2 linked regions of the Schizosaccharomyces pombe genome follow. The protein of the gene in region 1 interacts with the protein of each later gene in a biochemical or structural test. Each region holds a gene or a part of one and is shown on either strand. Other genes may lie near its edges.

Region 1 (7,822 bases):
AGTTGCCCCAGTAACACATTATGGATCAGCACCACAAAGAAAAATCATTCAAAATTGATGCTCAAATTCAATATTCTACAGGCTCAAGAAGGGATCTATACTTATTTTTACTAAACCCATAACTATCATCTCTGTTTCGTCTGCGGTAAAAAAAAAATTGTTTAGATTAATGTAAAAACAGAGCAAAATGAGATTTGTCACTTAGTACAACAATGTGTTACCTCTACACGCAACTCCTGAGTTGCGTCGCATGTTATTTGATGAGCTGACTTTGCGCACAAAACCAATACATAACAAAGAGATCTTAGGATTTGGAAGTTGCGCTACACCAAATACTTTTCATATTCGGTAAAGGGAAAGATTTTAAAAAAAGCTTCAGAATGGGATCAAGGTATGTACTAAATCTGATCAATCAATGTCTAACTAATCATTAGATTCGGTAGAAGAAAAGAACGCAATGGCGATATGTTGCCCTTGTATGAGTCTCAATCTCCTCAGCATTTAGACTCCTTGGAAAATGAAAATGATGAACGGATTTCAAAGTTAACTGGAAAAGTCAAGTCTTTGAAAGAGGTAAGATTTTTGCCATCATCAGGAAAAACATGCTAACTAATTTTAATAGCTTACTATGAATATTGGGACTGAGATAACGTCTTCTACTAAGTTGATGGAGTCAATGAACGACTCATTTGACTCGACCAAGTCACTTTTGAGCGGGACAATGACTCGATTAAAGAATGTTTCGAAGAATGGAGGAATTTCAATTTGGATGTGGCTCGCCTTCTTTTGCCTCGTTGCGCTTATCCTCGTTTTGGTAAGATTTTAGGCATTTTGCTTACTACCTTTACTCTTTTTTAGAGTTAGCATTTTTATGATTCATTTTATGGCGTGTATAATCTGTTAAAATTGTATACTTGAAGTTTCTTCATTCTCTTTTCTTCTAACATTTTCATTCTGATTATTTTAAACTTATTATCGATAGAAAAAAAACATTCATCCACCTTTGGTGTTTCCACACAAGTGGTTTGTCACGATAGGAACGCAAATCCTCAATTTTTGTTTTCCTAACGACTTTGTTTTTAACTTATTACATCCTGTTATTATAAGTTTCTATCTGTTATTCATGATACTAGCCCTTCACTCGTCGTCTTACCATTTTTGTAAATTGACGCAACTATTACATTTGAGTTTTATTCAAGTTTATCGGCATGCAGGTCATGTCTTTTGCATTTTCTATTCCCAAGCTTGAAGTATGGAATGTTTAAGTATGTGATACGAATCTTACTACTTAAATTTATTTGCTTATTACATTATTTCTGCGTCTAGTGTTCTTTTACTTCAATACTTGAAATAAAATTTTTTTTTTTTCTTTAAGAGTACAATCATGCTTCTATTCCTTTTCCTTTGTATTTTAAATGCATGTTATTTCGAGTTTCGACATATTGGGTAGGTTGCTGTTTAATAGTGTATTATGGGCACAATAATATTTACGTAAACCATCAGCGCTGTACACCTACCTATAGAAAGTTGTTTTAAGAAGATATTCGCTTTTTATATGTCTAACAGTATTTAATAACTAGTTTTCTTAAGCGGAAGTTTCGAAATTCGATCAGTAACCGTGAGTTTGTGTACAAAATGCTAGTATTGAAGATAGTTTTATTTTTATCTTTGGTGATATGGTTTAATTTAAAAAAGAGGACGGATAAGAAAAGAATTATTGTTCTCGTCCTAGGAGATATTGCAAGAAGCCCTAGAATGCAATATCATGCCGTTAGCTTCGCTAAACTTGGATGGAAGGTTGATTTGTTAGGCTATCAGCGTAAGTTATCTAAAATATTTGAATATTTTAATCTATACCACATTAGGTGTATTTGTTGTCACTAACACTGTCGTAGACCCCGGGTCATCTGTAGGACTTTTCGAAAGTCATGAAAACATTCGTTTTTATCCCATTCCTTCACTTCCTGCGTATCTTCAACCTAAGAACCGCCTTCAGTTTTTGTTTTTGGGACCATTGAAGGTTTTACATCAATTTCTTGCACTGAACTGGGCTCTTTTTGTTCGAAAACCTGCTTCATTCCTGTTCATTCAAAATCCTCCTTGCATCCCTGTTTTCTTCATTGCTCAATGTCTTCATATACTACGTGGTACAAAATTTATCATAGATTGGCATAACTTTGGATATTCAATACTTGCGTTGAAATTAGGGAAGCAGCATACCTTTGTTAAATTACTTAAAATTTATGAGAAATACATGGCCCGAGGAGCATATGCTCATTTGACTGTCTCTAAACGGATGAAAGATGTTTTACAAACTTGGGGAATGAAGTAAGTATAAATTTGCTTTTTGCTCAACTCTAACATTTTCAAGTCCTTGCTATGTATGTTATGATAGACCCCCCAACCACTTTACTCCCATTAAAAATGAACAGAAAAAGCAAATGTCTATCAAAAAAATACCTTGTGAGTACAATCCTTCTTCTACGAAGCTCTTAATTACTTCTACCTCTTGGACACCAGACGAGGATATTTACATTTTATGGGAGGCTCTTAATGAGTACGACAAAACTTTAGATACGCCCAAGCTTTTGGTGCTGATAACTGGAAAAGGCCCGATGAAGGAAGAATTTTCTCAGTACATTAAGAAGCATCCATTACACAAAGTTCGTTTTTGCATGCCTTGGCTCAGTATTGAAGATTATCCGCAGGTTATGGCCTGCGCAGATCTTGGTGTATGCTTGCATACTAGTTCAAGTGGACTTGACTTGCCTATGAAAGTTGTAGATTTGTTTGGCTGTGGTGTCCCTGTTATTGCGCTTTCTTATCCAACGATTTCTGAATTGGTACATGATGGCGAAAACGGGTTGATCGTTAACGATTCAAAAGCTCTATCGAAAAAAATGCAGGTATGAAAAAAGATTTTTTTACAAAAAAAACCTTGAATAGCGATTCCTACATAATTTATTGGCTTTTTCGTACGATAACTAACTGTTTTAGTATTTATTAACTCATGCTAATGAATTAAATTCATTGAAACTGGGTGCTCTCAAGGAATCTGAATATCGTTGGGATGATGAATGGAACAAGGTCATCCCTCCTATAGTTCAAGGTTCAAATTAAGTATTTAGATATTACATTCTCAAACCTGAATTCCTAATTACCTTTTTTTTAATAGAATAATCCAATCGTTGTTACACTATTTGACCGCATTATACATGCTTAACGAATACTTTAATAATTATTAGAACTCACCACCAAAATTTTCTTGCTATCTTCTGCACACTGCTCTGCCGTAACTCCCTCTTTTTGGGAACATCTCTTTTAGAAGATCAATTCTCATTTTTTAACTCAGTTTTTCTATTTTTGTTTCTTATTAATTTTTCATAATGTCTGCGGAAGAAAAAAACATTGTTAGGGTGTTTCGTGCTTGGAAGACAGCTCATCAATTAGTCCATGACAGGGTATGTATTTGATAATCTTTTTTCTTCAAACATATTAGAATTATTAACAACTATTATAACTTAGGGTTACGGCGTTTCTCAAGCTGAATTAGATTTGACGTTGGATCAATTCAAGGCCATGCATTGTGGCATGGGTCGTAATTTAGAGTATGTACATTTATTTAAATCCATCGTGATAATGGATTAAACAATCCGATTGATTATAGAAGCAAATTCTGTTGATATCTGCGTATATGTCCATAGACGCCGGTATTTATAAATCGGTTTACTCTTAATCTGCTTTCTAATTGATGAACATGCTTCTTCTAAACTTCCTTTATCAATTTTTTTTTAAAAACTGTTTTGCTAATGCGTTTAGTCGTACAACTTTGAGTTTTTACGCAAAACCTTCCAATGATTCAAATAAAGGCACAATCTATATCGAATTTGCAAAAGAGCCCTCCGTTGGTATTAAAGAAATGAGAACTTTTGTTCATACTTTAGGTGATCATAATCATAAAACTGGTATTCTAATTTATGCCAATTCCATGACCCCAAGTGCCGCTAAAATCATTGCTACTGTCACCGGCCAGTTTACCATTGAGACTTTCCAAGAAAGCGATTTGATTGTCAACATTACTCATCATGAGCTTGTTCCTAAACATATTCTTCTTTCACCGGATGAGAAAAAAGAACTTTTAGACCGCTACAAGTTACGTGAAACTCAATTACCCCGTATTCAACTAGCTGATCCTGTTGCTCGTTATCTTGGTTTAAAAAGGGGAGAAGTTGTGAAGATTGTCAGAAGAAGTGAAACTAGTGGCCGTTATAATAGCTACAGAATTTGTGCATAATTTTAATTGGTACATGTGGGCTAGAAATATCGCTTCAAAACTACCATCTCTTTCTTTTTCTTAAAAAATTTCAATTTGAACATAATAATTTAAAATTCAAATCGAATAAAGCAATGTCTATAGCTATTACAATGAGCTTAAATTTTTGGATTAGATAGTTTTTAGAACAATACTTTATTAGTGATTTATTCAATAAAACATCAAGGGTTGGCATTCACGTTTACTTTTTATTACCAAAAGTAGATAGTTTATAGTCAGTACTGCTTTGTATCAATATTTCATTAAGTTATCATAGCACAAACGACTGTTTAAACCGAAGACTAAAGCATCTTCTTCTTGCTGGTACTTATTTTAAGCAAGCTAAAAATAAGTTTTATTATAGGTATACTAGAAAATAGGCATACTCGAATCTAATAAAGTGTGAAGGTTGAAAAGTTTGGCGTTCGTTAAAGTTTTAAGGACATTATCAGAAGTTGAAGCAAAGGACAGCCACTCCTTTCAACTATCATCATCAGGAAACTCCCACAAGTAACAATCAACACAATTCGGTGTGTGTGAGCAATCTGGTAATTTTTCGTATGCATCTATAACATCATTCAAAACAGTTTGCATACGATGGTGGGTAATAGAAAGATGCCACCCTTTGTCCTTTACAACATCATATAAACATTCCTGTCCTGTATGACAAGTTGATTCCATCGCATAACCTCCGGCCCAGCATAATGAAGTTGGACCTGTGCATTTGCCCAAATATATTGGATCAGCATTGTGACCAAAATGCCATACTAAACTTTCTTCGTCCGGTAATCCTGGAGGCATTGGAAGATGAAGACGTCGGGCAGCCATTCGATCACCAGGTGCTTCAAAAGTGACTGTTGGAATTCCAAAAGAAAGTCCCATTAAAGCGGCAGTAGCGCCACCTAATGAGTGTCCAGTCAGCCAAATCTGTGCATCAGGGTATAATTCTTTAACACTATAAAAAATATCCAATGATGCAGAATAATACCTTGAGTCATCTTGCACTTCATCCTCAAGGCAAGTTTGACTACAGGTGTATGTATTTTTATAGCAACCACAAACCGTAGACCAAGCCCAGCTGACACGAGCGCAACAACAGGAAAAAAGTAAATTGTCATTAACGCGATCCTTCTGCGAGGTACCGCGTCCGATTCCGAAGATGGACGTACCTTTCATCGCAATAATTATAGTGGAATTGTCATCATTGGAAAAAACATGTCCACGTAGACCATCTTCCTCCCAACCAAATCCTTCAGGTGGAGTTATATTCCAATCAGGTCCTAAATCTAACCAGTCCCCGTCGAAAGGAATTTTTTGGTAAGCATTGTAGCTCATCTTTCCAAGGGAGTAAATCGTTTCTTTATCAGTAATATCAGGAATCACGATTGCTTCCTGTTCCCATAAATCAGCTGGTGAATTCGCTTCAGAATAAATTCCTTTCATAGACTTATATCTATAATCAGTCAACGCATCGCGAGACTGATCCTTCAAGTGAACGGAATATCCTTTCTTCATTTTCAACGGCAATTTTGATTCACTCTCTGCGTAAACACTTTTCTTGGCCACATCTAGTCGATAATATGATATACTGTCCTCATTGAGTCCGTAATGAAATACATGCTGTAATTTGACATTAACCTTATCAGGCACATTTTCCGAAGATTTGATAACACTTTCAAATACTCCTGTACAACTAATCCTAATGATGAAACAAAAAAGGAAGAAAAAGCGCCTCAAGAATAGCAATTGAGACATTGCATGAATAGTTTGCTTTCCTTTTGTTTAAAAGAGCAACCGAAAAACGTTATGCGAATCTAATCCTCAATTCTAATAAATACAATGGGATAATTCAATGATTATGCTTTATCAGCTCATGTACATGCTTAACTCGTTTATGTTGCTCATAAATAGATGTTTTAAGTTACTTAACGCCTTTGGTAAGCAATAATTAATACATTACACTGCAGTAAGTTACGCATCATAGCGTGGTGTTGTATGCTGATAATGTCGCTATTTGATATAATATCTAGGTAATGGACACTGTAATTTGTGAATTTAGGATGAATGTATGGCATACAGGTTTTGTGACATGTTCTTCATAACGATACCGGAGCCTTAGACTATAATAATGCTATGATTGTAAGATTTATTTATATTGTTCCTAAATACGGCAATGTTCCTTCTCAGAAAAGACTTTGCAAATGTAACATGTTTTGCTATGGAGGACAAGGTATGAATTAATCATCCTTCGCTTTATAGTAGCACATTAGGTGCTTTTTATTCCCATGCTTAGCGGTAACCTATTTAATGGCAATAATGAACGCTTGAAATTTAACTATATTAGCAGTATGCGCAGCTCTTGTTGTTTCCCTAAAAGAATAAAGTCATATATGGATATATTCTCCTACATACGCATACTGATAACGATATCAACGTAAACATTTTTAAAGTCAGTTGGAAGAATTTAGATGTCCAATCTGAATTTTCTGTTTTTAAAGTCACCAAGACCTTCCAAATACAAATGCAAATCAGCAGTTTTGTTCAGCGTCAGAACCTTAGTTAGCATGATCTTTATCGTTATTTTAGCGATAAACATTTTTTCAAAGAAGTGCTAGGTCTCGTAAATAAAAAATAAAGACACATTGCATTGCAAAGTTTGCTTAACACTATTGAAGTTGAATTTTTATGTCTAGTAAACACTGAACTCTGGTTTGTGAGTAAATTATTGTTTGTAATGGGGAAAAGAAATAAAAAGGTATGATACTTTGTTAATCGGCCTTCTTTTTTTTTTTTAACAAAGATAGGTGACTCAGGGCAAAAGGGCTTACAATGACAAAAGTGAAATTGTCTTAGAGTAAGTGTACAAAGGTGCTTTTTTACGGGGTTTAAAGCTTTATTGGGATATTTTTAAGAAATACATTGAAAAGATCATTATTGTAGGAAATAGTCAGCTAACATGCAGAAATAAACAATTCGAAGGTTACTATAAAAAGCAAAATTTATTTCGAGGAAAGCCAAATGATGAGTTTGATAGCTTTATGGAATATATGAGAAAGCCCTTACCAACTACATTTCGTATTTGTGGATATCGTCACCATGCTTTTGAACTAAAAAACCATTTTGAAAAATACTACGTACCAAGCCTTAAAAATGTCGTCCATGAGGGTCAAACTATTCCACCTCCAACAGTGCTGCCTTGGTACCCAGATGGTCTTGCATATATTGTCGATGCGCAAAAAGATGTTATTCGAAAGAGCCCGCCTCTTAAACGACTTCAGCGGTTTCTTGTAAGTGAAAATGAAGCTGGAAACATTAATCGTCAAGAAGCGGTTAGCATGCTTCCTCCTCTATTCTTAGACGTTGAGCCACATCATGTAATTCTGGATATGTGTGCTGCTCCGGGATCTAAGACTGCGCAGCTTATTGAAGCTGTTTATAAAAAAGCCAATATCAAGGATGCTGCTCATGACAGCAAAAATCTCAAGAGTGTTGAAGGTCTTGTAATTGCTA
Region 2 (8,451 bases), 3.7 Mb from region 1:
ATCAGTCTCTTCTTCCTTTTTCTACAGAAGTTCGTAGGACCCCAACTTACTCTGTCATGAATGAAACGGATAGTAGTAGTACAAGTGTTGAAGACGTAAACAAAGAGAACATACTGTCATTGAACGATTCATGTTTGATCAAATTATCTGATGATGAGGCTTCAAATAAAAGCAGTCGTAGCTCGACTCCACGCAACTCGATAAAGAGTAATTCATCTAACCAGGGCCATGGCGACATACCAATTCCTAAAAAAAATCCTGCTCGTTCCGTTTGTAATTCAAAGCTTTTTAACGAGGACACATTGCCAGCTGAATTTGAAGAAGTTTCAATTTCACCACCTGTCAAACTTGAGTTACCTACTCACTCTCATAATTCATCTGACACTAGTTTTACGAACAGTATAGTTAGCAGTGTTAGTGACATGGTTGGTCTTGGCGAAGGTATAAACAGTATTGCATCTTTTGGTTTCTCTGAAGATTCGTCCTCGTTCCAAGATATAAAGACACCTCCTCGCTTATCATTCGCAGATGAGAACCGAGAGAATTGTAGGACTGATATCTACCGTTCAGATTCTATTCATGAATACGAAGAGCCACTTACGAGCTCCATCACCTCTTTAGATTCCCCTCATGTTCTTGACGAAAATGCTCCGATACCGCTTCTTCCAAAAGTGGTTTCTTTACCAGATCCTCGCTTTACAAATGTTCTTTCAGCCTTTGACGCTTTGACTAGGACATATTTGCTACGACAGAATTCTAAAGTTGTACATGCCACTAGTCAGAAACAAGAAATGCAAACTTCGCGGCGCGTTGTCAATTCTTGTTATATGCCAGAATCGTTATCGCGAAATTTGTCCAGTAGTTTGCAACAAACCGGCGGGAGTGGAAGATTGTTTGTCCGTCTTATGGAAATCAGAAACTTAACTATTCCTTTGGCATCGGGGATGACCACTAGGTTCACTTATACAATCTCTGGTAAGCACATTCAAGTACCATGGAACGCCTTACACTCTACTACTAAAATTGAAAATGAGTATACTTTTGATGAAAGTATTAGTTCTTCAATTGTATGTACGCTCCGTGCGGCTTACGATCCACCTAAGGTTCGCACTCGTTCTACACTTGGAAAAGTATTTTCAACAAATAAGAGAAAGTCTATGACTACCGACCCCGTTTCAGAAGCACTTCATGGATTTGTTTCTGAAGATGGAACTTTCGGCGAAGTTACCATTAACACTGATTCTGTAAGCCGAACCGCACTAGGCCGTTGTCAATCTATGGTTCTACCAATCATGAACAAATGGACTGTTGATCCGGCAGCTAAAGATGTCAAGCCTCTCCCTCGAAAAGTAGGAGAACTCGAAATCCACGTATTTTTCTTACCAGCGCTTCCTGTCTCTCTGAAAGAACTTCCCGCTTCAATCGAGTCTGCCATGTATGACTTAAAGCTTGCTGAATGGGATAGAACTTTATTGTGTGATGGTTATCTATGTCAACAAGGTGGGGATTGCCCTTATTGGCGTCGTCGCTATTTTCAATTAATAGGATCAAAGTTAGTAGCTTTTCAACAATTCTCTAAAGTTCGCAGAGCAACGATTGATTTGTCTGAAGCCACACATATCGTGGATGACAACCATTATAGTGATGAAGAAGAACTAGAAGGGTATCTGTATTTCGAATCGGGTTTCCGTATCATTTTCAGTAATGGGGACTACATCGATTTTTACGCTGAAACCGTCGGCGAAAAAGATGAGTGGATGTCTACACTTCGTCAGCATTTGGGGCAATGTTCAATGGTTCACAAAAATTGGACCAAATCATTTCTTTCGCTGAGTTTTTAAATTGACCATTTGCTTCGACCTCACTTTTTCTATTTAAATCACATTTGGTCTTTATCTTCTCCTTTATCTATATCGTCTTGCATTTTTCATTGGTTTTGTTGTTTCCCTCGCATAATACATAATGTTCATTTTATCTACCATCGAGAAGCTAGATTCGGTTGAAATGAGCTCGTTTTATATAAGCTGTTAAAAATCGGATAGCAATTACTTACTACTCCCCATGTATATTTATACTTCAGTTGCAAAATACTTCATTTTTGAAAGTTTCCCTTGATCCGAAGAAACGTTGTCAAAATAAGTTGTCTCAAAACGTTTATCTTGGCTTTGTAAATAAATCAAATTCCTTAAAATACTCTAGCTTGGCGTTGTCGAGTGAATTTATTAAGTCGTAAGCTTGCCATTTGAGAAACTTCAAAAAATAAAAATTCCACAATAATTTAATTACATTATTCTGTAAATAATTAATACCGTAATTGCTATATAGTTCAAATACCATTTTTAGCTGTTTCGCAATATCTAAAACGTATATGAGATCACTTTTTTTCATTGTCTAGCGTTTTTGTACTTCAGTTAATAACTGTTTGAATTAATAGTTTCGTTCATATTTTGCTGTCTTTTGAAATTTGGTGGTACTTTACGGTGTTACCCCCAACACTTAATTAAATGCTTAGCGGGGGATACATAGCAACTGAAATAAAGCACGCGGCGTCCGTCACCAACGTTTCACATAATTGAGTTTACAAATTTTCTATATTAAGGTGCCATAAAAAGTATGGTCGCTAAGTATTCAAACTTCGTTGAAATTAAATATTTTATAAAGTCTGTAAATGCGATATAATAAGGACTCAGAATGGAATTAACAAGAGAGAAAGTGTAAGGATACTATTTTTTTTCCTATGAAACTTATACAAACTAATACGTTTATTTTACAGTCTTTTGTTAACATTTTTGCGAATGCAATATTCTCATATACTTCCTGACTCAATCGAAAATCGAGTTATATCTACTGAGGCCCCGGAATGGGAATTGGACAAATCATTGCAAGACTTGTTGATTCATGATTATGATTATTCTAAAACTTCGTTTTCTTCAAGTCCCCCGATTGTCGCTAATGACACTGTATCCAATGTCCGAAAGCCGAGTGATACTAAACAAGTAAATGGTGCTGGGGGTCAAGTTAATCATTCTCGAGCTGAAGATTCTGATTATGCTACTTCTGACTTATCCGAATCTTCAGATGTGGGTGATGACGATAACTCGTGTATATTTTCTTTTAGCAAAGTCCCAATGCAGAAGGATGTTGCAAGTATAAAAGAAGAGGAAAGACTGGACCCCAAAATTTCCACATTAAATAATATTGATGCTATCGCAAATCTTAAGCTTACCAACATGGTAGAATCCTCGCAGGCAGTGAATTTAACCTCGTCCAAACAGTCTTCCATAAACCAGCAAAGCAGTGTTTCTACGGATTATGATGATCTACGGTCGATTTCTGAGGAATCATTTCATTTAAGTCAAGGAGAAATTCCTCTTACTTTTCCAATGAATTCTTCCTTAACTGACACTGAAGCTGATGCAGTTGTTGCGGTTGATGCTCTTTTTCCTGGTAAGCAACGCGGAACACACAATACAGTCAATAAAGCAAGATCTGTTTCGAACGCAAAGGCTCCTACATCTGCTCTTCGTGCATTACTTGAACATAAAGAAAACAGTAGCCAGAATGGGCCATTGGCTGAAAATTTTGCTACTTTTTCTGGACATGCAGAATCAAATGCCCTCCGTTTAAACATTTATTTTCCTTCGAGCGAAAGTCCTTCAAAGCCCTTATTTGTAGAACTCCGAAAGAATGTTTTGGTCTCTGAGGCTATCGGTTATATTTTACTTCAATACGTTAACCAGCAACTCGTGCCCCCAATAGAAGATGAGGCTCAAAATCCGAATTATTGGAATTTACGTATTGTTGAAGATGACGGGGAGCTAGATGAAGATTTTCCCGCTTTGGACCGTGTAGGTCCATTATCAAAATTTGGTTTTGACGCATTTGCTTTAGTTAAAGCCACTCCTGCCCAAATAAAGGAAAATCAAGCTGCCTACCCGTTTAAATCGAAGCATCCAACATCAATTCCTGAAGCCAATAACAAAACGCATATTCGGCATACTAGTTCAACTTCAAGTCAATCACAAAAGCAAGCTCAGGATGTCAAAGATACACTTAATACTTCTCATGTCGTACAGGTACGACTTCCCCCATACGGGGATAATGCTCGATTTTGCAATATTGAAATATCAAAAACTACTAGATTGGCTATGGTGTTGAACCAGGTGTGTTGGATGAAGCAATTGGAGCGATTTAAGTATACTCTGCGAGTTGCTGGATCTGATACTGTTTTACCACTTGATAAAACATTTAGTTCACTAGACGGAAATCCAACTCTAGAACTTGTTAAAAAGAAGGTACGCGATAAAAAAGGAAGTACCCAACAATTGCCAACCTCCTCACCACAAAATTCCGTTTATGGATCTATTAAGAAAGATGCACAATCTTCAACATACAATGCAACAGATATTATGTCGAGCAATACCTATCAAGAATTTCTTGTATGGAAACGACAACCTGTTTCATTTATGGGAAGACATGAGCGTCTACTAGCTATTGATGGAGAATACGTTCACATAATGCCGTCTGAATCCAAAAATATATTTGAAACGCCTAAGACGTCCAGTATACATGCTGGATCGATTATTTTATGCAAGCAGTCTAAAAAATCACCATGTAATTTTAAAATGATTGTGTCCAAGAATAGGGAAACTAAGCGGTAAGAAATTTTTTAACGCTAATAAGCTAACGAGTTCAGGTATGATTTTGAAGTTTTGTCCGCCTTGGAAGCTGCCATTATAGTTAGCAGGATACGTGCACTGATGAATACTGTTAAAAAAATAAATTAACATTTATTTATTACAAAAAGATTCTATGAATACATAGGTATAAACACCTTTGTTTTTTGGTATCACATTGCTCTCTCCCCTATGTCATTTTTATTAAACATCTTCAAAATCAGCTTCATCTTCATCGTCTTCATCGTCCTCATTAAATCCATTAATAATAACATTCTTTTTACTTTCTTGCATTTCCGTATCACCATCAGTAATACCATTTGTAGAAACAATAGGTGGTAATGAATTGTTTTCTTCTATCGATTTTGTTCTTTTATTTTGGATATCACTATCTGAATTTAGGTTCTCGGTTTTACGCTTGACCGACCCATAATCAGTACTTTTGTTTTGAAGAGAGGTAGCCGTCGTAACGTCTAAGAAGTCATCATCCTCCTCATCATCTACGTTTTCACTGTCCATAAACTCGCTTTCCTCTTTTTGCTTTGCACGAAGTGTTGCGTAATAAGCATCTAAGGCGCTCTTTTCAGAAGTAATATCTGTTTTAGTGTCTTGAACCTCATTAACAGTTTCAGTTCTAAAACTATGAAGTGCGGCATCTTTAGCTCCAGCACGAGTAATGGAGCCAGAAATTGTTGATGTTGCATGCCATTCGGGAAGAATGTTTTGAGCAGCTTTGACTTGCTTGTCGCAATTCCTTTCACGCTTTTCATCAGTCTCTTTATCAGCAGAGAAATCAACTGTAATAGATGGCGAAGAGGTGGAAAGACGGACGTCTGAATTACTTTTTGACAAGTTTTGTTGCGACAAATTTTGGGTGTCTAACGAAACAGGAACCGCATGTTCTAAAGCAGATTGGAAATTGTTTTGTGGTACGACAATTTCATCCACCCTTTTCAATGCATCGATTATACCATTAACTTGTCCCATCAGTTTTCCTAGCCTTTTCTGACTAGACATCATTTCTGCACTCTCCTCATCGTCTTTGAGTTCGGTTCCACAAACGTTACAAGCAAAAGTTCCCTCGTTGGTCACCAAAGACAAAACGTCAAGGCTAGAAAACTTTTTGTTGCAAAATGGACAAACATAGCCTTTAGAATCGAAATCCTGCTAAGTTAGTGAAAGTGACGATAATAAGAGATTCGTAAAAGTAGTGGGTAAAACACTAAGCAAAAAGAAGGAAACAATATGGTAAACCTTTTATGAAAAAAGGCCCAATTAAAAAAGGAACTTACATTTCGCATTCGATCTTCTACTGTTTTCACTAATTGGTGCATACGCCATTTAATGCTGTCAATCGTAGAACAGAAATCGATATAGAAATAGGTTGTATGATATTGCCTTTGTTGGCCTTCCTTCATTTCCGTCCTACTTTGACTGAAAGGTTAGCAGCTGGTCATGGAATTGCCTTCACGTACATTGCCAATAAACGATCCTCGCGCAATTTTCCAGCAATAAACCGACATTCTTTTATAGGGATACCCATTAACAGCGCTGTTTGCTCATCTGTAAGTCTACCAAAGGTTAAAATCGTTCTGATCTTGTGAAGCACGTACGCTGAATGTCGCAAAATCGCATCCATAAATATTATATGTCTAGTTTCGTAAAACGCCCTCATAATCATTTTTATAAGTCTCTGTACTATTTCTGGAGCATTGGACATAGTAGATAAATGATACGATAAATCGAAGGAAGGTTTTTGCAGCGAATAATAAAGGGTGATGGAGTAGTGGAGAATGTACCACAAAAAGACACTGCTTAAGGCGTTAACTAATGACTCTTTAAATGCCTATAGTCATGAAGACTGTTAATTTAGAAAACATCTTTTAAAATGACATTCAAACATAATAGTCTTAAAAGTGGTCCATTGCCTTAAATTACTATAAATTTATTCACAATGTCCGTTGTTCAATAAATTCTTCGGTGAACTAGCTAAAACTTGATACGTATTAAAATTCATGCACAATTAGGATAGTATCATTGTTTAACATAAAATCATTAATGAGACGTTATTTGAAAAGTTATATACAAAATTATCTAATGTAGAAAGGTAAAGTACTAGAAAGAAATCGAAAGTCATCAGCATAAAGACCCATCTGCCTCTAGTGTATAATCATAATGAAAGCATACATGTTGATTAGCATGTTCCACACTTTTGGAAGATTCTTCAATCGTAAGCTTTAATTTCTGATATGCAGCATCCTTGTAACAAATAAGAATAGTCATTTCATCTAACCAATGTAAAAGTACAGGGTTAGATTGATAAAGCTGAATTCTCCAATGTGCACGTTTTCCACTATCAATTAACTTAAGTAATTTTCGTTTCCAGTGAGTTTGACGGGGTTCGGTTGTAGAAGATTTAAATTCACTTGCTTCCTCATAAGGTTCTTCAGACGTTAATTGACGAATTGTATTAGGACTTCCGTGAAGAGAAAATATATGTAAAGTTTCTTTCTTACTTGCACAAGCCAACAATAATTCATCGGGAGAAAACGCTAATTGACAAACTGCCGTGTGTTGATAGCCACGACGAAATTCGCAAATTTTTTCTCCAGTTTCTGAATTCCAAATACGAATTAAAGTACCGTTTGTTGAAGAGGATGCTATTTTTGAACCAGTTTTGGATATACCCAAACATGATATCTCACTATCATGTGCAGGCACTATGCTAGTGTTCATATGATCCTTAAAAAGAAATAATATTTGCAGCTGGCCGACCTTTCTAGAAGGAAAAACGATAGCAGTTTTCTCAACAGTAGTAACCATAGCGCATAAGCCTACATTTCAAAAGTCAGCTTCGACTATGCTAAGCAAAGAATGTCTTACCTTTTGGATTCTGGGTATCAAGGCATCTTTGTAGTTTTAAGTTATTTCCGAATTGGTACAAAAATAGCTTTGATGCGGTTGCAATTGCTAATCTTAGATATGTTAGTTGTTAATAAGACGACAAGCAATATAAAAGAGAAGAACGTACAATTTCCCATCGAAACATATTCCTTTTATTTCAAAATTCAATTCAAGCTCTTTTACCGGCCTCTCTTTCACATCATCCCAAACAATAAGCTGTAAACAAGCTTAGCTAAAAGAAAACAAAGCATTACTCAAACTTACCTTATTTGGTGCGTATTTTGGATTTCCACCGCCGCCTACTAAGAGTAAAACATTGCTTCTAAAAAGCATTTTGACTATTGAAAGACCACCGTCATTGAACTCTAGACAATTGTAAATATTCAAATAAGAGATCTGCATATTGCAAAACTTACGTCTTTGAGCGCGCAGCTTTAGAGGGTTAATTTGAAAGATTTTATAGCCTGTATCTAGCGCAACAGACATGCATGAGGCATCTTGATTTAATGATACAGTATTAATAGTTGACATTCCAATTTGTGGGGTTTATGCATTATGCAAAACTACTTTAGATTGTTCTCGGTGAATTCGGTAAATTACACACCGTCAATTATACAATTCATCACTTTCTTTAGAAAACACAACCTTTTTACTAGGCATAATAATGTATTAGTTCAACAACAGCTATAATGGAAAAGCAAGTTTGGATAAAAAAAAAAGTGTAAATGTGGGCATATAATCATTAAGTCATTAATGTTTAGGATCGCATATACTGCGCAAGATTGTGCATGCGATCTATGATTTGAGGAAACAGAGCACTGACAGAATCATTAATTAATTGTTCAAAATATTTGATGGCATCTGATTCAGA

The links.
Region 2: the proteins of rpb5 (region 1) and tfa1 interact in far-western blotting, tested with the Schizosaccharomyces pombe proteins (one study listed by BioGRID).

The regions. Positions count from the first base shown.
Region 1 is NC_003424.3:1,051,349-1,059,170, forward strand, and holds rpb5 (DNA-directed RNA polymerase subunit Rpb5), read left to right. Parts: upstream 1-3,270; 5' UTR 3,271-3,386; coding exon 3,387-3,461; exon of another isoform or gene 3,462-3,525; coding exon 3,526-3,608; exon of another isoform or gene 3,609-3,699; intron 3,700-3,819; coding exon 3,820-4,294; 3' UTR 4,295-4,558; downstream 4,559-7,822. Other genes in the region: SNARE protein Bet1, read left to right, coding at 381-391, 435-573, 623-826; mannosyltransferase complex subunit Alg1, read left to right, coding at 1,636-1,819, 1,896-2,328, 2,372-2,906, 2,998-3,120; autophagy-associated lipase Atg15, read right to left, coding at 4,793-6,067; trm402 (tRNA (cytosine-5-)-methyltransferase), read left to right, coding at 7,047-7,067, 7,117-7,166, 7,275-7,822. UniProt on the Schizosaccharomyces pombe protein: DNA-dependent RNA polymerase catalyzes the transcription of DNA into RNA using the four ribonucleoside triphosphates as substrates.
Region 2 is NC_003424.3:4,742,529-4,750,979, reverse strand, and holds tfa1 (transcription factor TFIIE subunit Tfa1), read right to left. Parts: upstream 6,452-8,451; 5' UTR 6,397-6,451; coding exon 6,290-6,396; exon of another isoform or gene 6,248-6,289; coding exon 6,152-6,247; exon of another isoform or gene 6,111-6,151; coding exon 5,969-6,110; exon of another isoform or gene 5,841-5,968; coding exon 4,881-5,840; 3' UTR 4,788-4,880; downstream 1-4,787. Other genes in the region: mid2 (septin ring organizing protein), read left to right, coding at 1-1,841; MAP kinase-interacting protein Sin1, read left to right, coding at 2,692-2,714, 2,774-4,657, 4,697-4,787; WD repeat-containing protein Atg1803, read right to left, coding at 6,813-7,510, 7,560-7,651, 7,708-7,796, 7,845-7,945, 7,997-8,111; phosphatidylinositol 3-kinase Pik3, read right to left, coding at 8,338-8,451. UniProt on the Schizosaccharomyces pombe protein: Recruits TFIIH to the initiation complex and stimulates the RNA polymerase II C-terminal domain kinase and DNA-dependent ATPase activities of TFIIH. Both TFIIH and TFIIE are required for promoter clearance by RNA polymerase.